2 linked regions of the Drosophila melanogaster genome follow. The protein of the gene in region 1 interacts with the protein of each later gene in a pairwise test. Each region holds a gene or a part of one and is shown in the gene's direction. Other genes may lie near its edges. The genes, in order: Acf and Snm1.

Region 1 (7,635 bases):
AATCGGTGCCCGTAATCATTTCCGTTATAGGATGCTCCACCTGCAGGCGGGTATTCATTTCCATGAAGTGGAAAGAGAGATCTTCTTTGTCTAGAATGAACTCCACGGTGCCAGCTCCTACGTAGCCCACAGCTTTCGCTGCACGAACAGCAGCCTCGCCCAGCTCACGACGCAAATCTTCCGACAAACCTGGCTGTTGTATAAATGAGCATTATTTTTAAAATAGCCGAAGCTCTTGTGCACTTACAGCTGGCGCCTCTTCAATAATCTTTTGATGACGTCTTTGCACGGAGCAATCTCTTTCCCACAGATAGACAGCATCACCATACTGATCCGCAAATACTTGAACCTCTACGTGGCGTGGAGATCGGACGTACCGCTCCAGAAGCACAGAGCTGTCGCCAAACGACTTCTCGGACTCGGTGCGAGCTGAGTTCAGAGCGGTGAGGAAGTCGTCCGGTTTTTCTGCGATTCTCATGCCTTTGCCTCCGCCGCCGCGGACGGCTTTAATCATCAAGGGAAAGCCAATTTTGTCGGCTTCTCGCTGCAAACACTCATCTGACTGATCATCGCCATGGTATCCATTGATGATCGGCACCCCAGCAGCGGCCATTATGGCCTTGCTGGTGCTCTTAATCCCCATGTCCCGGATGGCGGAACTGGGCGGACCCATGAAGATGATGCCCTCACGCTGGCACAACTCGGCAAACTCGACGGACTCGGAGAGGAAGCCGTAGCCTGGGTGGATGGCCTGGGCGCCCGAACGCTTGGCTATGTCCAGGATGCGTTCACCGCGAAGATAGGAAGCCGAGGAGGCAGCTTCCCCCACGCGGTACGACTCGTCTGCCAACTGCGTGTGCATGCTCTTCTCGTCCGGATCCGAGAACACGGCCACGGTACGAACTCCCAGCTTGCGTGCGGTTCGAATCACCCTGCATGCGATCTCACCACGATTTGAAATAAGGATCTTGCTGATAGGCCGAACTTTTGGGCTGGCTTCTGTTGCAAAGCACCTGCGTCAAGCCAAAACAAATTAGCAAGGTTTATGTAATCGTCAAGAACGAAATTAAGTCTTTTGATTTAGCGGCCTTAACAAAGAACTGCCGATCATTTCCCTCACCTGGCGTTTGCGCCGAAGTTTCGCAGCAGTCTGGCGTACATTATTAGTAGAATTAATTGTAAGAATAAATAACAAATATACTTTATTCAGAGCAAGTGTGCGATCGTCGCTTATCACAGCTGGAAAAACGCACACGCACAAGATCGCAATTGAGATGGGCGACTCACGAGATGCATGGTTGAAAATATTAATGTTTCATATATCTTTTGGGGATTATCATATATCATCAATATCTTTTAGGGAAATTGATATTACGTATATTGTGTTTTTTTTAAGTTGCAACCCATAAAAAATATTACCGTTATATTATTCTGGACTATTTATCGAACTGTTGACATCCATCCGACCGCGTCCTTACGGTTTTCTGCGCTCGTGAAGTTCGGTAACATTGTTCGCAGAAACTCGATAACCGATAGTTTAACGTCGAAGAGCGATAGGCCCCAAAATATGCGCGTGAAAATAGATTGTGCGCTATAAAATAAACGGATTTAGGTAGTTGGTGTTGAGGAAGCCAGCCACAAACATAGTAGAAATTGTCGGAAAAGTGTCGCCCGCCGACAGCTTGTATAATTGCGTCGGAAGTCAACGCGCGTATCGCTGGAAAACCGTTTGCATCGAAAGCCCCTCCGGAAAGGCGTGAAAAGTTGGGCGCCTTTTGCGCTTGTCGCTTGGCGTTGTAAAATTTATCAGTTGCTCCGCGGTTGTTTTTATTGTGAACTGTTAAACGTGCACTTCGAAGGACTGCCATTTAAACTTAAGGACATTCAAGAGCAAAAGGAAAACACCAAACATGCCCATTTGCAAGCGGGAAGGATTCGACCTGAATCAGAAGGAGGGCAAGAACGAAACATTCCACGACAACGACCAGGTCTTCTGCTGCTACATCACTAAGCGCATTTTTCGCGACTATGAGTAAGTGCATCCTGCTACCATTCCTGCAACTGCCCCTTCCCTTCTCCTGCCATTAGGTGGACGCTGCGCTAAAGTATACAACAAAAGCGACGCTGCAAAAGCATTTGCACACGATGTACCGTACATCACCATTCAGTGTGTGTGTGTGTGTGTTCGCAGGGGTGCATAAGTGTGCGAGTCTCGTGGGCCAAAGGCGAAAAAAACGCTGTTCGGTGGCGGGAAGAAATTACAGCTGCCGCCGCACAGCTGCTCGCCGCGGAGTTGCCACCTGGTGCCAAAGCGCGCGCTCTTGAATTTGGAATTTGTTGACCCAATTCGACTTATATGATCCTTCTAGATATTTTTAAGATCAGCAATTATTTAAGAGGCTGGGTAGCGCGAAACTATTTTAATAAATAGCAAACATACTAAATATGTTTTACTCTGACAAGCTTCAATTATATCAAAATAAATTGACCTTAAAACGCTGATCGATTAAATTTATTTATCCAGACACTACTTCCGGCACGTGATGGTGATCAACTCAACGGTGTGGCAGTGCGAGGCCACCGGCAAGGAGAACCTCACCTACGAGGAGGCGGTCAAAAGTGAGCGGGCGGCTCGCAAGAAGATGGAGCAGTTCAAACAGAGCCTTCGGGCACCCGTCCTTCTGGTTGTGGAGCACGCCCAACAGTCGGCGGTCAACACCTTGAACATGATAGTGGCCAAGTTTCTGCGCAAGCGCTACTTTATCGGCGAGGAGGTGTCGGTGCAAGCTAAGAAGAACGCCACGTACACGGTGTTGGGTGTCAAGTTGGACAAAAATATGCCGGAACCACTCAATGGTATCTATGAGGACACGGACAACCTGGTCTACAGACTACGACCAAACAAGGGCGATCCCAGTGCAGAGCTTGATCTGCCCTTTAGGCAATTACGTCGCTCGCGCATGGAGTTTAACCTGGAAAACCTGAGTATGTTTATAAAGAGCAATGTATCGCGGGTGGATGGACTTCTTCGACCCAAGCCAGAGGCATACAAGCAGTACGTGACGGACCCTGGCGTAAACTTCTCCACAATTTTCATTGGCAAAATGCCACGTTATTCTCCCGCTAAGATTAAAAAACCTGACGGCAAGAAGCAATCCACTCTCAACAAATATATTGTCGCCGGTGAAGCAACGGCTGCAAAGTCAAAGGCGAAGGCCAAGTCTGATGCTAAATCTCTGGCAGAGGAATTGGAGCGGGTTAAGCGAGAAAAAGAGGCCAAGCTTATTGAGTTGGAAAAACAAAAGGCGGAAAAGAAGGCACAGTTGATTGAACGCGTTGAAAACGAATGTAATTTACTGCTTCAAAAGACGGACGACCTGGAGAGAACCGACCAAAAAGTCCTGCCCCGCTACAGACAGATCGTCACATTGCTGCCTGAGCACCTCCTGGGTGATGCCTTCATGATGCGCGAGTTTATGCACACTTACACAGGATTGCTGTCCGGCATCGAGGTGTTCCGTCAGAACCTCAGTTTCTACGAGATGACACGTGCACTGACTGCTCGTGAGATTGCGGGCCCACTATCGGACATCCTCCTCGTTCTGCTTGGCACTGTTTTCGATCTGCAAAAAGAAGAGGAGGAGGAATGCGCAGTGACCTACCTCGATCGGGCTGCACAAACTCAGGAGCCCTATTGGAGTATGGCGCAGGCCGCCAAAAGTCACCTTTACGCCAAGAGGCACTTTTCCTTTAAGGTCAATACTTTGTTTGTGCCGACGTGTGTTATCTAAACTAATTTTATTTTCCCAATAGGTAAATGAACTACCATTAGATGCACTGACTCTCAGTGAAGTGCTACGACTGCATCTACTTGGATCCGGAGCTTTTGTAAATGAAAAGGCGGAGCGCTGGAGAGTCATGTACCGGAATGGCTACTCGTCAAAAGAAGACCCTGGTCTGGAACTACGTCTGGAACACTCGCACATCCTGCGCATTCTCAAAAATCATTCCGTATATCAGCTAAAGTTTAAGGATATAATGCTCCTGATTCGCTGCCTGATGTCCCAAATTATGACATACTCGGGCACGATTAACTTGATTGAGGAGCGTATGGAGCAAACAGCAAAGGCCAGGCAAGATCTACGAGCTCTAGTTGTCGGGGAAAATAAGAGATTAGCCGCCGTAGAGATAAACAGGAAAAAACTCACGCAAATGCACCACCTGGAGGTAAATGGCGTTGAGCCTGAAAAGAGGGAAGCGTTGGTCGAGAAATTAAAGAAGAGTATTGCCGAGCTACACGCCCAATCGGATCAGCAACATCGCAAGCACGAGTTGCAGATGCTTAAGTTGCATTCGCAGCTTTTCAATTTTTTGGTTTACTTGGGCATGGATAGGTGCTACAGGAAATATTACGTTTTGGAGTCTATGCCTGGGATCTTTGTCGAGCATTCGCCGGACAGCCTTGACACTTGTTTGGAGCAACCAATAACAAATAAGTCCCAAATAGAAATTCGTCAGCAGTCTGCATTGCCAAAGAATCGCAAGGACCTAAGGGTATATCTACTCAAACTCTACGGAGACGACGAAAAGAAAACTAAGAAAAAGGCCAAGCACTCTCTAGAGAACAAGGAGAACCAAGAGCATCGCCTTAACGGCAGTGCAGAACCCATGGATGTCGAATCTGATTCTCCAGAGGCTCCCACTCATTTTGAGCTCTTGATGTGCAGTGGTGACAAACGATCTTGTATTGTGCATGATTCAAGAAATGGGCAACGGCAGCGTTGGGCATATATTTACAAAGCCGAGGAGATCGATGAATTAATTAAGGCTCTCAATCCCAATGGTCTCCGTGAATATGAACTCCTTCAAGAGCTATCCGTTCTGCGTTCCTTAATCGAACAGCATGCTAAGACCTGCCCAGTAGACTTGCTAAGTCTAGAAAACGAAACAATGCGCAAGAAGTTTATGGCGGCGATGGAATCTGAAACTAACCGTAAATACGGAGAAGCAAACTTTGGGTTACCGAATGGGACCGATCTAAACGAAGTGATGCGCTTGCATTTAGTGGATCGAATTATTCAATTTGAAAATGATATTTACACTGGTGATCTCGGCCGCCTGAAAGTTAAGGATATGGAAAAGTGGCGAAGTGACTTGCTTGGAGGCAATTACGACGCTCAGTGCAAGTTGCAGTGGGGCCCGGGTGGCAAGTTGGAAGATGAAGCTGGTTCTGACAACGAATCCCACGAAACTCACGAGGAGGACGATGGCGCACTATTAGGTAAATATGCCAGGAAACCATATCGCGATCCTGGCATGTATTTGGCAGCTTCTGCAGACACAAAACCCCTACCAGACAGCGACGATGAGGAGGATCAGCATACGAATGCCGTCTCGATTCCTATCGCCGTGCATAACATGGCCTCGGCCCTTCTGCAAGTGGAGCAGGCTATTGGAAAACGGTTTCTGAAGGAACCCTACGGCATGAAGAAGTGGGACCCCAAGCAGGAGGCTTTAAAACTTGCCTGCGACTCGCGTTTGCACCAGTGGGAAGTTTCGCTAATGGAAAGTACAAGCTTTGCTCAAGTCTTTCTGCACCTAAACATCTTGCACGACTGTATTCAGTGGAGGCGTTCCACCAATAAGTCATTATGCAAGGTCTGCAGGCGTGGCAGCGATCCGGAGAAGATGCTGCTGTGCGATGAATGCAACGCTGGCACTCACATGTTCTGCCTGAAGCCTAAGCTGAGGTCTGTACCCCCGGGCAACTGGTATTGCAATGATTGCGTAAAGAGTCTGGGTCTCAGCAATGGTCAAAACGAAAAGGATAAAAAGCAGGCGACAAAGAAGAAACGCAAGTTTATCGTAGAAGAGGAGGATGATGAAGCTACAGACGAAGAAGAGGAAGAGAAAAAGGATGACGATATGACCGATGAGGATGCGGAGCACGAGAACGAAAAACACGATGAGGACGTTGAGGACGACGAAAGTGTGACCTCTACCCCCTCATCTTCCAGAGTCAATGGGCGAATTTTAAGGCGACCCCGCACACGGCCAACAAGCAGAAGACTTACTTCGAAAGAGATCGAAGAACATGCTCAGGAAGACGTTGACAGCGGAGACGTCAGCGATGACGCATCCTTAACCGCCGGTGAAGATACGATCGAAGACGAGTCGTAAGTTAAAAACTGGATTGAAAATTAAATTTAGATAATGAACCCATTGCAATCCACAGAGATGAGGAAAAGGTGTGTCAGAAGTGTTTCTACGATGGCGGTGAAATCAAATGTGTGCAATGCAGGCTATTCTTTCACCTGGAATGTGTTCACCTCAAGCGACCGCCTCGCACAGATTTCGTTTGTAAAACCTGCAAGCCGATGCCACAACGACCTAGGCGCCGGCACAGTAACAGTAAGTCCACAAATTTCTCCTTAATGAATAGCTCACTAATAGCCCGTGTGATTTCTGTCCAACAAGTGAATGGTGATCATGACCGCGATGAGGAGGAGCCAAAAGCAAAGCGACCACGTAACTCTTTGCGCCTATCTATCGACAAGACCGCCCGCCCAAGCAACGGCAACAACAACAACAATAATAACAACAGCAGCGTCAATAACAACAACCATCGCAGAAGCGGGCGTCGGACGAACGAGCACATGCCGTTGAACAGTGCCGCCTTGTACGATCTGCTTGAGCAGATCATGAAGCACAAGGCCGCTTGGCCGTTTCTGCGACCAGTGCTGACATCGGAGGTTCCCGACTACCATCAGATCATCAAAACGCCCATGGATCTAGCTAAAATCAAATCCAAGCTAAACATGGGCGCCTACCAGCTAAACGAGGAGCTGCTCAGCGACATTCAGTTGGTGTTTAGAAACTGCGATTTGTACAACGTAGAAGGCAACGAAATATACGAGTGAGTAGATTGGGATAATCCGTAAGTGGTCTTGTTGTTTATCCTTTATCTTGAATCCGTTGCAGCGCTGGTTGTCAACTAGAACGATTCGTGATCGATCGATGTAGGGACATGCAGCTACCGTTTAGGCCTAGCGATATGAACGGGGAAGTCAAAGCTTGCTGAGCCGGACGCTGATCTCCACCAGCTATCGTGTAAATTAGTTAGTCTACTCTAAGCCGTAGTTGAAAACCATATATATTTAAGCACAAATATTAAGTGTATTTAAAGATCTTTATTTTCGTGCATGTCAGTTCTAAGTTCAGCACACGCATATGCAAAAAATCCTTATCTGTTGGTTTATGAGACTTTATGTATTTATAAATTATTGTAGACACTACGAAAATTCCACAATCAATAAATGAAGTGACCGGAAACAAACGATTCAAAATAAATAAGTAAAAAAAATTGTTTTGTTGGAGGTGTAAAAAGCTAAAATTAAATGAATACAAATTTTAAAAGAGCTTAGCTCTGTATAAACGCAGGAAAAATGGGTAGATGGAGTTTGCCAGTTTTTAAAACAGACGATTTGATCGCAAAAAAAAAAATATTGCTTAAAGAACCTAATTTGCCAAATTCTTTCTTAATCGAGAAAAAAGTGTTGGATGCTGCATTGTTATTATTACTTTTTATGAAATCTAAGCTATGTGTGTTTCACTGGACATTAAAAGTAAGAGTGA
Region 2 (15,457 bases), about 26 Mb from region 1:
ACTTTTTTAACCTAAACCACTAAAAAATGTCTAATACCGTTAATATTTTTCTTCACCAATATTTGTACCAATTCCACCAAACATATATCATGAACGCTATCATGATCATTTGATTACATAGTTACCTAATAATTTTTGTTTTCAATGACTTCAAATATTTTATTAATTTTTATAAAATATATATTATATATTCTTTCGTTGCACATGTGAATATATTTATTTATGTATATTAAAAAAATACAGCAAATTATTTTTAATTTAAATCAAACATTTAAAGATTTTAACTATTGACTCCAACATACAAAATACTGATATCCACTTCTGTGTGTCCATTCGGAATGCGCTCAATTTGTTCTTATAACTAGTTTTAAAGCAATATTGGTGAGGTTTTGACCTGTCTTCCAATGGCTGCAAAGCAAACCTTTGCGGAAGATTGTAATATAAAAAGTGTATTATTTTATTTTTTAATTATTTCATACAGAGATAGGTTATTGAATTAAGTAATTATTGGACAATCTGCCGTTATTGCTTGACGTAGGAACAAAGCCATTTTTGAAGGATGGTCGTTGTTAGGTTTCAAATGTATCACGTTCCTGGCCGGCGAACTGGATCGCTGGGAATTGGACGGGATTAAGCCGTTTTTGAATTGATTAACCACTAATTGAGGAACCACAAAGTCCGATGGTTTGGAAAATAAATCCTTCTTTTGATGCTGAAGCATTGTATTGCAAAGATTTGGCGTCGAAATTTTGACGGTCTGTCCATTCACAGAAATTGAATAGACAGATTTGGGTGCTTGGCTTGTGGGACGAATACCATTCTTGGGCAGCTGGGTGCCAGAGACAAGATCGTTGGAGCCGACGGATCGAGATCCTTTCCCTCTGGAGTTAAGGTGTTCTGTAGCCATATTTTTCAACTTCAGTTCTGCTTCCGCCTTGGCTGCAGCCACTGCTTGTTTCTTCGTACGCATCACGGTGACGCCATCGCTCATCAGCGTGCCCAAAGATCCATATCTCTCCATAAACTCTTCCGGCAGATCAGGGGGTTGATGTATGCCCATCAGCACGGGAGAGCACATCTTCATCAACCGATGACGAATGTACTTAACTGCTTGCCTGTCTACGCTGGAGCTGGGAGAGTCATTACTGGCGGCCATGTGTGAATCGATGTGTTCAGATAGGTACTTCAATTGAGGCAAAATGCATGCGCGGACCGCATGATTCCCCATCTTTCCCAGGCCTATGACGGCCCCAAACACCGTTGTCAGTGGCTTCTTCAATAGCGCCTTGTTGTAAACACTGGAATATAAATGAATATTTTTTAATCCGATAGAGATTGCAAGCAAAAATCAATTGATTTAGCGAGCAGCGAGATGTTATTTTAATAAACTTTTAGCACACTTCTTTAAGCATGTGGTCGCACGCAACATTTGCGCCATAGACGTTATTATCGCTGTTATCTAAAATTATTATCAATATAAATCGAAGGGGTAAGCAACTTATTTAATTAATAGCTTGGTGGTTATTTCAGATATTATATGATTTACAATGAGTTAACGTGAAACGAGCTACGTTAGGTATTTTGTAACGACATATTAATATTAATTAATATGATTATATTCCTCTACCAGATGGATTTCTCTCTAATAAAATGATATGAATTCACAAATAACCCAAAGAACCCACACATGATGAGTACTTGCCCAATGACTCTGGGCAGGATGCCGTTGTCGGCAGCGTCGAACTGGCGCACTATGTGGGCCATTATGTTTCCGGAGTATTCCCTTAAGGCCCAGTGATCCTCCGAGTTCGGAGATGCGCACACTTGTTTGGCCAGCAGGCAGGATAGAACGGCTGGCAGGAGCAGGTGGAGCTGCAATTCAACAGATGCATTCTTCAGCTTATCCTATTCCTCTCAGAACCAAATACTTACATATTGCAATAGGCTGAAGCGCTGGTTTCCCAAAAGAGCTCGGACCATGCGCATAAGGTAAAGGAGCAGCGGCAGGTTCTGCTGGGCCACGTTGATAGCCACTGCGTCCGCAATGAACTTGGTCAACCTGGGCAGCAACTCCTCCAGCGAGGGATCAGTGGAGATGGCTTTGAGAGCAAGCACGCGCCGGGATTCCAAGTCGCCTACGCAGGCCTCGGTTACCAACTCGAAGAAGTTCTGCTGTTCCATGCTCAGCGGATAGCGCTTGCTGGGCTTTAGCAGCACCTGCTCCACCTTTAGCCACCCGGTGTGCATGGGAGGCGGCTCCAATGAAGTCTCCGGCACGGGTTCCGGCACAGATTCCTGCACGGATTCCGGGTAGGAAACGAGAAGTTCATCCTTTTTTTCGGCGGTTACAGCTTCGCGGACGGTTTTTAATACTTTTTGGGAAGGAGGCATTTTGCAATCGTCGCAATGGACCAGCCTAAAAAAGATGTCATAGCAGAGGTCGTCGTGCATTCGGACGGCATGCTGGATGTGAGACAGTTGCAATCGCCGATCCCGGATGCGCCGCATGTATTTTCCAGCCTCGTTTAGCAGATTTGTAATGTCTTCCTTAACATTGATGGATAGCCACTGTGCTACTCCGTCGTCCAGATGCAGACCAGTGCTGTGGAAGAATATCGCGGATAGAGAACGCGGCGACAAAGAATGTCTGCGAAAACTTTTGTCCTTGTCGGGCATTTCATTCTGAGACGTTTTCATTTTAGTTGCGTTTTTGTTTTCAAACTGCCACATTTTGGCACTAGTGATGCCACTGGTCGATAGGCGATGCACGACGCCGTTATCGGTCAGAAAGGGTCGTCACTCGATACCGATACCCGCCAATTGAATTTTCAAAAATATCAAGCGAGAGTTTCAAATGCGGCTTGTTTGATTTTTTTTTGAATGTCAGTTCAACATTGGCAAAGCTTGCCACAACCTATCCGAGGAGTAATACTGTTTCCAACAAAAACACTTCATAACCAATTATTTTAGCTTAGCCGGTTATTTAATTACAAAGTTAATTATATTATATATCATATATATCATCATCACATATATGTGGGTTGTATTACGTGGTCCACAATTTGGTAGCTAGGTTAATTAGGTTAATCATCATTGACGGTTGCACTCCGGATACACTTAAAAAACAATATATCCCTAATAGCACAGATTCACTTCCCATCATTGTTGATTTTGTACAAACTTACTTAATATAAAAATAAAACTGTTCATTTAATAAACCGCGTTTTTAGACTTTTTTGTGTAATGTGTGCCCTCTGGGAGAACTTCCCAGGTCGAGCTCCTTTCGACTACTGCCCTTTACAGCATTTCCACAACCGACTGAACCTGACTTTGACATAATTGTCAAGTGAAATTGTAGAAACCGCCTAGTACGAATGGGAATAGGAAAGTCCGTATCAGTTTCATACAGTTTGGTATATATATATATATATATATACATACTATACTATATTTGCGATTATTGTTTAAAATTTGTTTTGCACTGATTTAAAGTGTAATCTCCAATATTTATATCAATAATTTTACTCAAAATATTTCCCATGCTGTCGCATACGAGAGGTAACGCCTTAGTCGATTTTTAGATACCCGTTACTCAGCTAGTGCAAGTGCGAACCAAAATTTCATGTACTTTCTCTGGGATATCGATTGGGTATAAAATGAGACAAAATGTGTAAGAAGGGGCGTTGCCAAAATGCTTTTGGTATACCGATAGAAATGGGTAAGATAATCCATAAAACGGAAAAAAATAAAAATATTTTTCCAAAAAGTCGGCTTGTCAGCTTTTGGTAGTTTGTGGGCATAATAGTGGGCGTGGCAAAAGGTCAAATCTATAGAAATGTACATATATTGTATAATTAATATAAAACAAGAAGGAATGTTATAGTCGAGTTGCCCGACTATCTGATACCCGTTCCTTACCTAGTGTGAATGCGAACGTGAAATTCCATCATTATTCATCATTATAAAAATTGTTCAAAAGTGTGGGCGTGACTTGGTGTCTTTAGGGTGTTAGAGTGGGAGTGGCAAAAAGTTTTTTTCATATCGATAGAAATTTGAACGTCTAATAAAATTGAGAAAAATTTGCTTGAATGTGGCCGTAGCAGTTTTGGGCGGTTGAAGGGAGTTAGAGTGGGCGTGGCAAAAAATCTAGAGAAACTGTATTTTTGCTTAAAATTATTAACACATTTTTCAAAATTGTGGGCGTGACATTTTTGTGCGGTTTGTGGGCGTGCCAACATAGGTCAACAAACTTGCGCTGTGTCGATGTCTCTAGAATGCTGAATCTTAATCTTCTAGCTCTTATAGTTCCTAAGATCCCGTTCATACGGACAGACGGACATGACCAGATCGACTCGGCTATTGATCCTGATCAATAATATATATACTTTATATGGTCGAAAACGCTTCCTTCTGCCTGTTTTCTACTTTTCGAAGAATCTACTTATAGTCTACTTATTTACTCTACGAATAACGGGTATAAACGTAATTTTTTTAAAACATCCTGATTAAATAAATGGTAATGCTGTTCCTGAATGTTTTAGGGACACTTTTGGTGTTTTAGCACTTGATTAAATTGTGACTGATTAAATTATATTTTACGTTCCGGACATCTATAGTTCACTTGTTGGATCTCAATTTATAAATGTCTATGATGGTGAGCTGGTTTGATGAAACAAAGCCAGTCAACTATTTAAAACTTAACCATTCGAAGTATAAGTATTTAATTAATAATATTAAGCACGAATATTTAACAATTATCCTATTCTTCATCACTATTAAAACTAAATCTGTAAATCGGGGAAAAATTCTTAAAGGTGTAGTTAAAATTTATCTCACTACGGACATAAAAAAATTATGATTTCATTAATGTAATATGAAATGTTGAAGCTGCTTGGTAACTTTAAACAAAAAAACGAAAAGACAGCGTTTGTTCGGTAAACTTATATATTTGCACTCAACGTGAAAAAAAGCAATTTAATTTTGATTGATTGATTAACTAGTAAGCCAAAATTAGGTAGAGAAAAAACACGAGCAGCAGCACCGCAACGAGCGACCTTCCCACTCTGTGCAGTCAGGAGCGAAGATCCGTGAGAGGGACGTACATTACGCCCATGAGACGTGTCATCTCCACCTTCCCATTGGCGTCCTTGTCGTACTGTAAAAATGGTTATATTATTATATATTATTATATATTATTATGTATATTATTATATATTATTATGTATATTATTATATATTATTATGTATATTATGATATATATATATTATTATGTATATTATTATATATATATATTATTATGTATATTATTATATATATATATATTATTATTATTACATATACATATTATTCCAGCAGTTATACGAATCAGCATCTGCCCACCTGTTGCATGTACTGAGACCCGCCGTCGGGACCGACTGGAACTATCAGGCGTCCGCCGCTGGCCAGTTGGTTGATGAGTTCGGTGGGTGTGTCGGGAGCAGCTGCTCCTACATGGATTGCATTATACGGGGCGTTCGGGGGGTATCCCTTGCGGCCGTCACCCTCGACGATCAGCAACTGGCCGGAGTCCAGCATGCTACGGTCGTCGGTGTTTAAGTTGGCCTTGCTCCGCCGCACCAGCTCTGCCTGGTGCTCTATGCCCACGATTCGGGTGTCCGCATCAACGCCCTTAGCCTTGATGTAACGATAGAAGCAGGCTGTGAGGTAGCCAGATCCAGAGCCCACATCCAGTATACGTGCACCGGGCTTCAAGTGGTCGCGTAGATACTCCAAGGCGAAGGCATGCTGGGAAAGAAAAATGTATTAATCTCCAGTTTAAAAAGACACTTTACTTTCAGAAATTATAAGAATATGATGGGAAGAAGCTACGGGAGTGAAGAACTAGTCTTCAAATGATGAGCCATTGATATGTTTTTAGTGGATTAAAGAAAGCTACTTTTTTATGCTGCCTCCTAAAAGCATCTTGAGTGTGGGCATTGACTCCCACAGCAAACATGGCGAGCAAACTATTTGTTTTTCAATGTCCTGGCTAGGAGTTACCATGTGAGGAGCACTGATGGTGACACCTCCTCCAATGGGTTGCGGGGCGTCCATGTAGGGGTTGCGCGGAGAGTAGTGCTTGCGGTCGGTTTCCTTCATCGCCTGGGCCACCGCATCACTTGCAATGACGCCGTGATCTTGGGGATTCGGTTCTATTATTAACTCGGCCCATTAAACGGAGCGAATTCAAGGGCTCACCCTTCAGTTGGCGAATCAGGTCTTCATTATTGGCTCCCACGGATCGCCACGCCATGCTGAAGGCGCGGAAGAAGAAGCCCAGTTTACCAATCCGCACCACAAGATTCCCTTTTTCCACCGTCTTGTTGTTTTGTTTAGTTTGTTATAATATTGTACCAGAGGTGGCAGGCCAACGATAACACTGACAAGCAATCGACACATTCAAGCAGTACTCATACATCAACTGAGTTTTGGGTCGTATGTCCTGCATCTAATAAGTTTAACTCCTCTGTTGAATTTATATTGAAATAATATCTGTTGAATATATATAATATCGATAGTTGCATAACATTTTCAGTTCAATAAAAATATCACTGGTCGAACTTTAATAACTAAAAGTGAACATGCTGCTATGTACATGGATATGTAAAACATCTAAACCCGTGCTGTCACTGCTGTGCAGGTAATATTATATTAAAATTATATAAAATATATATACATATATTTTTTTAAACTTTTTTTTTTTAAGTTTAAATCATTTATTATTATGCATTAGGAATCGTTCAGTTCCTTCTGAACTTAACCTAATGTGTAGCTTAAAAGATATTATGGATTCTGTTCCTTAATTATAGTGTACACATATGTACCGTGGAGAGATTATTGTATTCTCTTCAGACGTCGGAGGGAAATAAGGTCGACAAGATCATTCGCCAACGTGTTCGGGTGGGCGCTAAGTCTGTCGGCATATCGGCTGCTGTGGAAGTTTATTTGGTCTCCCAATGGTATGGCTGCGTTTAAGCAATGAATTGCATTTAATCGTGGTCCCTGCCATATTCCTAATCCTTTCCCGAAAATCGTTAAAAAGATTATATATACTTAATTTTTGCTTGAGAGATATGGCGGCAATTTAAATTAAGCGCTTGATTTTAGTATGACCTTGTGCTTTATCGCCTGTCGATATGATAAAAGCGGTTTCTCTGGCAATCGAACCGTGCGATCCTGGCCCTATTTGTTATATGTAAACAGGATGTCCAATGTAGGGAAAATAAAGATAAGATCCATTGCGGATCTGCAGGCCACAGTACGAGTAAATGTAGAACCGGACCCAACGCCCACGATCGAGAACAGAACGCCGGACAAGAAAAGAGCGGGAAGAACTCGTGCGGCTTCCACGACAAAAAAGGTCCGACCAAAGACGGAAGCATGTCCAATCATAGCCAGCACTGCGTTCAAGCGTTCCAGCAAGAAGACTCCGCTGCCAGGACAAATGCGCATCGATAGCTTTTTTACAAGTGCCGTCAAGAACTACAAAGTCAAGTCAAGTTCCTCTTGCAGGAAGGTGGATCCTCCGTTGGACAAGCGAAAGGTATCTACCAAAGGGCGCAAGCGCCTCTTCGAGGAGTCTACAACAACCTCATCTGCCTTTACGGGCAAGCTGGATGCAAAGCCGTCAGAGAAGCGAGTGCAGCCTAGTCGCCGTGCGAAAGGCAAGGAGAACGCTAGCCTCTCCGAAGTGCACGTAATTGACCTGTGCTCCGAGGACGAGCAGACCATAAAAAGAAAGCCATCCGCGATAGCCTCTCCCTGTGAAAAAAGCAGCGATGTCCAAGCAACCAAGTTTAGAACTCCAGAGACTTCCATGCCAGAAGCCAAGCTAAGCAATTCCAGCCTAGACCTAGTGGAAATCTCCCCCGGTCCCAACAAATCCCCAACGAATAACTTTTACCGGTCATCGCCGGCTGCAATCACAAAGGAAAGCCCCCTGGGCAAAAACTCTAAAAAAGGAACTGTACGCAAACAAAGAAAACCAAAGCCTTGTCCGCCCTATAAAGTAGTGGAGGGTACATCCTTCTGCGTCGACGGCTTTCAGTTTGGGGAAATAGAGGGAGTCACACATTACTTTCTCACGCACTTTCATGCGGATCACTACATCGGCCTGACTAAAAAGTTCTGCCATCCCCTCTACGTGAGTCCTATTTCAGCGCGCTTGGTGCGAACGTTTATTAAACTCGATGAAACGCACATTCACGAAATTGATGTGGACCAGACCCTGGACGTAGATGGCGTCCAAGTAACCGCCTTAGAAGCTAACCAGTAAGAGCAGTCGCTTTTTTTTGGCAGCTTACCAAACTGCTATTTCTCACCTTTCAGCTGTCCTGGAGCACTCATGTTCTTCTTCAAACTGAGCTCTGGCGAATGCATACTGCACACCGGGGACTTCCGAGCTAGCGCGGACATGGAATCCCTACCAATCTTCTGGAACCATTCAAACATCGACCTGCTTTATCTGGACACAACGTATATGAACAAAAACTACGACTTCTGCCACCAAAGCGAGAGCGTTGACCGAGCGGTGGATCTGGTGCGCGCCTTCCTAGAGAAAAATGCAGCCAAACGAATCCTTATCGTCTGCGGCTCCTACGTGATAGGAAAGGAGAAGATATGGTTGGCCTTAGCGAAGGAGTTCACAATGAGGGTTTGGACGGAAAGCAATCGCAGCACTGCAGTAAGATGCCTGAATTGGCCGGATCTAGACTCCGTGCTAACAGAAGATCGCAGCGGAGCAAACTTGCACGTCATTGCAATGGGAAAAATCAGCTATCCGGTAAGTGTATTTCTAAAATATATCAATTTTTTAGTTAGCGATATTATTTTGTTTCAGAGCCTAGTCGATTACTTTACTGAATTCGAGGACCAATATGACATGTTGCTGGGCATAAGGCCCAGCGGTTGGGAAAAGAACTCAAAGCCTTCGTACGGCAAGCGAATTAGCACGATCGGCATTGAGTACTCAGAACACTCCAGCTACAAGGAGTTGGAGCGCTTTGTTCGCTTCCTCAAGCCAAAGCGAGTCATAAGCACCGTTCCCGTGGGCCGCGATCTCTATGTCACTGGAGAGGTGCCCATACGGTGGTACAAGTACGAAGGTCGGGCATCTATGCTGCGTACTGGGTTTCAGCCTTCGATATCCACTTTCCTAGCTACGCCGAAGCGAGCTTTTGCAAAATTCAGTGCAGATACTGAAATGTTCTTGAGCCCCGTGGATGAGAATGCTTCCAAAGGGAGTGAAGATAAGAAAGACGATGACCGGGAGTCCGTGGTGCCAACGAATCATGTAACTATTATATCCGACACTCCGGAAGAGTGTTTTCAAACTGATTCCAAGATACCAGTTAAAAACGAGCCTCTGGCACCGGACACGTCACCGAATTCTGAAATAGTTGCACAACTCAATGCGATGGAATCCGAAATTCCATATGTTGAAATAGACATTAAAAACGAAACTATCGCACCTGATGCAGTCCTCATACCTCGTGTCCCAACGGAAGATACATTTCAAAGTACGGATTGCAATGTTATTGGTGTCCAGAAAAGCCAGGCAGTCGTGGTTAGTAGACTGACATCCGATGCATCAGACGATTGGCTCCTGTAGTGATTAAATTTCGGATAAAAAAGTCCTTTGGATTTAAGTATGGCTGCTAGTAGTTTTAAGATATTTTGTTATGAAATAATAAGGTATATACATACTTATGTTCGAAAAGGGCTTTAGTTTCTGTTAAACTTTTATAATGTTTTAATATCTTTTATATAAGGCTTGCCTTTTAAATACTTTACATATGTATTTTGGTTGATATATATATATATTCCCACACTATTTAGTTGCGAACCGTACATAATGAAATAAATTGAGTTTTAGTTTGGAGGAAAGGAAACCATTAAATATGTGCTAATGCTAATAACAATGGGCGACCTTAACTCAAGTGCTAACGAATGTAAATGAGCTTTGTATTTTTCACCTATATGCATTATGATTTCATTCAAATAATAAAGAAATGTATAAACCACTTGAGCGAGTGCTTTAAAATGATCTCCTTCTGATTTCTGCATACTTTATGCGAAAACAATTGACTATACAAGCACTTGACAAACATAAGATATTTCCTAAATATGTAACCATGGTATGGGTAAGTCATCCCAGAAACTAGTAATACAAGTAATTAATTATTGAATATGACCATTTGAGTTTTTTGGCAAAAAATACATTTCTAGGCTCCGTGCTCCGTGATTACGATTTGGAAGTATACTAGACAACAACTAAGCGCATATACATGATGAAAAAGATGAGACTGTAGTAACCGGCTGCTCGATTTGATTTTTGGTGGGGTCGGCAGGGGCTGCTCCATGGTCATTTAGCTAAAAGTGAAGTAAGTGGCTAGTAAGTGACAATGCGACGAAGTACCAATGAATCGGCAACCTACCACCAAGAGAAGAAAGGGCTCTTATTTTGGAAGCGCTGCGTAAAAGAGAAGAAACGACTGCCACTTGATCTGAAATGTTAGAAACCATTATTGGCCTCCTATAATCCGGAGTCATGAAAGTATGATACTTACCGCTCGACAATCACCGCTGGCATCTGGACCAGTTGCACCGGCGACTTGCCATCCCTCAGTGCCTGTGTGAGATTTAGAATCTGGCCCCGCATCACCGACATCTGGCGCTCGAAGAGACGCTTGTCAAAGCCGCGATCCTGCTGGAAGAGGTACAACAACTCCGTGCAGATCTCCTCTACAAAGTTCATATCTGACAACTGCGGCAGCACCTGCTCCTTGATTTCTTCGCTAAACGGAATTTTCGCCTGTGGCAACCAGGCCCAATGGTAGGGATAAGCTCGCCAAGAGTCCGGATGCTTGAAGGGAAAAGCGAGACCATTGTCGATGGCAGCGATCCGAATGAAGGCCGAGTTCACCACATTCCAATCGGGTTCCGACGTAGGGGGGGATCTCGACGAGGGTTCATCTTCGCTGCTGGCCAAACTGCTGCTATCTTGCTGTGCACTTGTGGCTGCTCCACCCGCTAGGTGGTTCGAAGGGCGACCACCAGTAGTCGGTTTCGGGCTAGCCTGCGGCGGCTCGTTTAGGTCAACGATTTTTGAAGCCCCCAACGCATTGGGCAATTTGGGGGTCACAACTCCGTGCATAGTTCTGCCGCCAGTGCCTCCCACCTGGGTCGTGATCTTAGGGGCCACGTACTTGATCAGCCAGTTGTCGTTGCCACGGTCCGTGTTGCGTATGATATAATCGAGCACGACGAGGCGCTCGAACTGCAGTTGGAACGACTTCGCCACTGAAGGCGGCAAGGGTTCGCTTTCAAAGCGCCGCAGCCAATAGTCCGCATCCTTGTAACCCTCCACGAAGAGCTGAAAGGAGCCAGTCTGCAAGGAATTTTGACTTGGTTAATACCCAATCGGTTTGTTTTTGGAGACGAGTTCACCTTTAGAGGAAGGCTCATTCGGTTGAAGTGAGCCGACGGATAGTGCTCTTTAATGCGCTTCTTCAGCTTGGCCTTCTGTCGATCAATGCGTGCGTAGTTAAAGCTCTCGGCAACCAATCTGACCACTCGCGTCTTTGGAACCACATTCAGATTGAGTTTTCGATCAACCAAGCTGGCTCCTGATTCGGAGAGGTACCTAAGAAATATAAATACCATTTTAATATATATATCAACAAATGAAATAAGTTCCTCAATTGGCTTTTAATGAATGGTGACAACTTGTATTATCTTACCCCTGATTGGGAATCAAGCAAGCTCGGCCAAAACAACACGGGCAGCACAGCTTATGCATCCATTTCGTCCACTTCGGATTCAGTCTGCCATAGGGTTCCTCGTCCTTTGGCTTAAATACGGCCAGGCATTGCTAAGGGGGAGCATCATAAGAAATGGCATAATAAATACATAGAGCATAAGCGGGTAAACAATATACAATTCACTATTTTGAAACTGTTTCAGGAAAAAACCAAAAGTTTTGCAAAAGCCTTATATTTGCAGTACTTCCCCGATTACCCGATCTTATTTATCTATGCGCGGAAAAGTAAAAGATCGACGAAGTTAGGCCCAGAACTGGACGACCCAACTCCCACCTTATGCGCAAGAACGGCTAGAAGATCGTCACCCCGATTCCCTACTCACATGGGAGGCATCCTTGACAAAGTAGGAACCACTGCTACCCTGGTAAATGCGCTCGGGCAGCACACCATTCTCGATGGCCCCCTCCGCCTTCGCCACGATCTCCGAGAAAAGCGGGTCATCTATAAGAATCAAAGATTAAAATTAAAAATAGGCATTAGCACTAGGGCTTTAAATTACTAAAAAAGTTTGTGCGTAGAACGAAGATTCGCATGCCTCAAGCGACGGGTAAAAAACGGACTGTTCGTCATTTATTAAAATTGAACAAATTTGCTATATAATTATGGTTTTAATAATTTATAAACACACCAACGAAATAACGTGCCATCTGTTGGATAAAAATAATTACAGCAAACATGCACGAAAACGCTTATAAGACTGCGATGAAATTCAAGACCCCATCCTACACTTTACTTTATATCAAGGAATGGCATAGGACTGTTGACTACGCTAATCCTCTCCACGCTACCTATGAAATCAAAGTTGTCGTTGAAATCGCCCTGCAAGTCCTGGCAAATGGTAAACACTTGCGGTATGAAGTTTTCGCGACTGCTGCTCGACAAGCGCGACATGGAGGCACTGGTATATTAAGTGCGCCGGCAGTCGAGAGGTTTCGAGTCGGCTGGCAGTTGATAAAGGAGAACCAGGTCACAATTAGCATAGCCAAAGCGTTTCGATAAGGGCCAACCCCTTGCCACCACTTACAGAGGTTCCTCAGCGGGCAGTTGGCACAATTGCAGCGCGGAGCCGCGATTTGAACGGTTACTGTGTCTTTGGAGTCACGCGCCATCGACGGTGAGTTCACCAGAAAGGGCGGATCGCCCTCCTTGTCCGACTGCGACTCCAAGAAATCCTTCTCCAGCGGGCACTTGTGCTCGCAACAGATGCAGGCGTAGGCGGCGGAGGCGGAGGGCACCGAGGAGCTGCTCTCCAGCGCATCCTTGCTTGTCGTGGGCTGCTCATCGTCTCTTGGTTCGCTTGGCTCTTGGTACTTGGCTGCTATAGCGTTCGGCAACGGCACCTGGCTGAGAAACGACTTAATGTTGTTTTTCGGCATGGGGCTATGTCCAATTGGCGACAGTTGCCAAAGGAACAAGTTCCATTTTTGAAGTGCCTTCCTCGAAATTCTTTATATGCTTCCCGACTGACTTCGATTCCGAGCTACAGACGTCCACGGTGACATCCAAGTACACCAAGATTTATAACACACAATTTTGTGCTCAATTTCGAAAAAAAACTAATTCTTGTAAAAACCATAAAATTGTAAAAAATGCTTTGAAATGTGGGGCGATGACTATAGGATTAACATACAAAGGGCAAGCGAAATATGGCCATCTAGTGATATTCAGTACTGAGTAAAACGATTGCAAAAAGAACAGACAAACTATAAATCGCTTTCGGAAGTTATTTCGAAATGCAACGAAAACAAATCGGAGGGTATTACTCATCAGCGTATGTTCAAAGGCAGCAGAGCAGTGCGAATCACCTGAGTCACAAAGGTCAAAGATCTAGATGAGTACTCATTTGGCAGTGTATATCGCTCCCACAACACACTCTACATATATCTATAAAAGTTAGCTCAATTCCCTGCACAACGTACAAATTGACTAATATTTGAGTAAGCACTTCATGGACTAACCAATAGAAATGTGGTTATTCTTATGATTGCATTGATTCATATATGTATTATTTATCTTAGCAAGGGAATACAAAAGCAGTTTGTATTAGTTTTTAAATAAATCTAAATGTAAATAATTCTTTTGGAGGACGGAAATGCTTGGGTTGACCAGGGTGCTTTTGTTGACTTTAATTTAAATTTAAAACGTATAGCAGCTAGGAATCTAACCCTTATCATTCTATTTAAGAGTCTTTTTGGTTCATTTGGTCGGACATTTTGTCTAGTTTATATTCACGTTTAGTTTATATTCAAGTATGTAACAGAGGCGAAATAGCTAGTTTCCAGTTACAGATCCTCCCCGTATAAAAGAAATTAGATGAAGTTGAATGAATAACATCGAGGCCCTAAATAATCTGTTCTAAGCTTGCGCTGCTTGTGGAGATAGAACCACCATATGTAGCCGTAGAAGTGATAAGCACATCATGAGTAAAGCCACAAAGCAAACAAGGCAGCAATGTGGTCTGGGTGTGGTAGGAAATGCAACTTGTACGACTTCATTAGACCGCTGCGCACTCACCGCCAAATGTGTTCGATACAAACTCCACATGATCGTGCCCGCGTCCTAGTCCGCCCAAAAGCTCGCTGATGCGACTTCCGTGACTGGCATTGCCTCCCCCCAAGAGCGGCTGTGACTCCCGGTTGTCGCTGCCGGCGTCCGTGGACATGCCCTCGAAGTCGATTTCTGGCACCAGGCAGATGTCGTCGGCCTCGTCATGCGGATGACGGGCGAGAGCAGTGTGCGAAGTGGTTTTCAGCGGAGATGTCAATGCAGATGAGGCTACCTTCGCGGGTGCGATGTGACAAATAATCGGTGGCTGTTGGCTGCTGCTGTCGATGCTATCCTCAGCGCTACCTTTGAGTCTTTGGTTGCGCGGGTTTGAGCTTCTCTTCAGCAGCACAGCTTCTTCGCCATCTTCGTCGTCGATCTGGTCGTCGTAATGCATGACCAAGTTATCCAGTTGCGGTTTCTGAATAACAGCATCGCCGCCGGCACTCTCCTCGCCTGGCGGCAGCCCGTTGGTGTGGTTCCTCTCCTCTTGCGCCTCTTCCTCGTCATCCTCGTCGTCCACCGACAGTAGCATGGGTTCCCGCGCCTTTTTCCCTCTTCTCCTTGTCTTGCGTTTGCCCATGCCGACGGTGTTGATCTAAGGAAAAAGTCAGTTCATATTGCCATATGTATTGCAGAAGGTGAGGTTGAGAACGGAGTGCACTCACCTCAACTTTGGTGGTCAACTGGTTGCTTGTCGACTCGAAGCCATTTAAAAGCGGAGACAGTTGGTTTCTGGGCGGAGGTTGGTCCTTGGCAAAGTCCCCGATGAGATCCACCTCGTCCTCGAGCTGGAGCAGCGGGGGATCCGTCTGATCCCGAGCGCCGCTCATGTTCGCACTGAGCAGGGGGTGGCAGGCACGTGGGTGATTGGGCGTGGGTCAAGAGGGCTGGATGAGTGGGAGGTGCCGTTGCCCTCAATCCGCAGCTGACGGAACAACAAAGGCCCGCGCTGTGCTGCAGCTTCTTCTTGCGCTTCTATCCGCGACTTTTTGGGCGTCGCTTGGTTCTGTTATCTGCTCCTCCGCTTTTCCTCCGCTCGCATGTTCCT

The links.
Region 2: the proteins of Acf (region 1) and Snm1 interact in a two-hybrid assay, tested with the Drosophila melanogaster proteins (one large-scale study listed by BioGRID).

Annotation. Positions count from the first base shown.
Region 1 is NT_033777.3:31,792,458-31,800,092, forward strand, and holds Acf (ATP-dependent chromatin assembly factor large subunit), read left to right. Parts: upstream 1-1,523; 5' UTR 1,524-1,910; coding exon 1,911-2,032; intron 2,033-2,524; coding exon 2,525-3,755; intron 3,756-3,813; coding exon 3,814-6,176; intron 6,177-6,235; coding exon 6,236-6,411; intron 6,412-6,477; coding exon 6,478-6,916; intron 6,917-6,981; coding exon 6,982-7,081; 3' UTR 7,082-7,342; downstream 7,343-7,635. Other genes in the region: Mccc1 (Methylcrotonoyl-CoA carboxylase 1), read right to left, coding at 1-193, 248-1,013, 1,121-1,161.
Region 2 is NT_033777.3:5,547,891-5,563,347, forward strand, and holds Snm1 (Snm1), read left to right. Parts: upstream 1-7,193; 5' UTR 7,194-7,244; coding exon 7,245-8,311; intron 8,312-8,368; coding exon 8,369-8,822; intron 8,823-8,879; coding exon 8,880-9,650; 3' UTR 9,651-9,896; downstream 9,897-15,457. Other genes in the region: mia (meiosis I arrest), read right to left, coding at 497-1,298, 1,703-1,872, 1,933-2,730; Pcmt (Protein-L-isoaspartate (D-aspartate) O-methyltransferase), read right to left, coding at 5,072-5,155, 5,381-5,785, 6,041-6,177, 6,239-6,293; Pi4KIIalpha (phosphatidylinositol 4-kinase II alpha), read right to left, coding at 10,408-10,411, 10,477-10,545, 10,609-11,429, 11,489-11,684, 11,782-11,912, 12,185-12,303, 14,377-15,004, 15,075-15,239.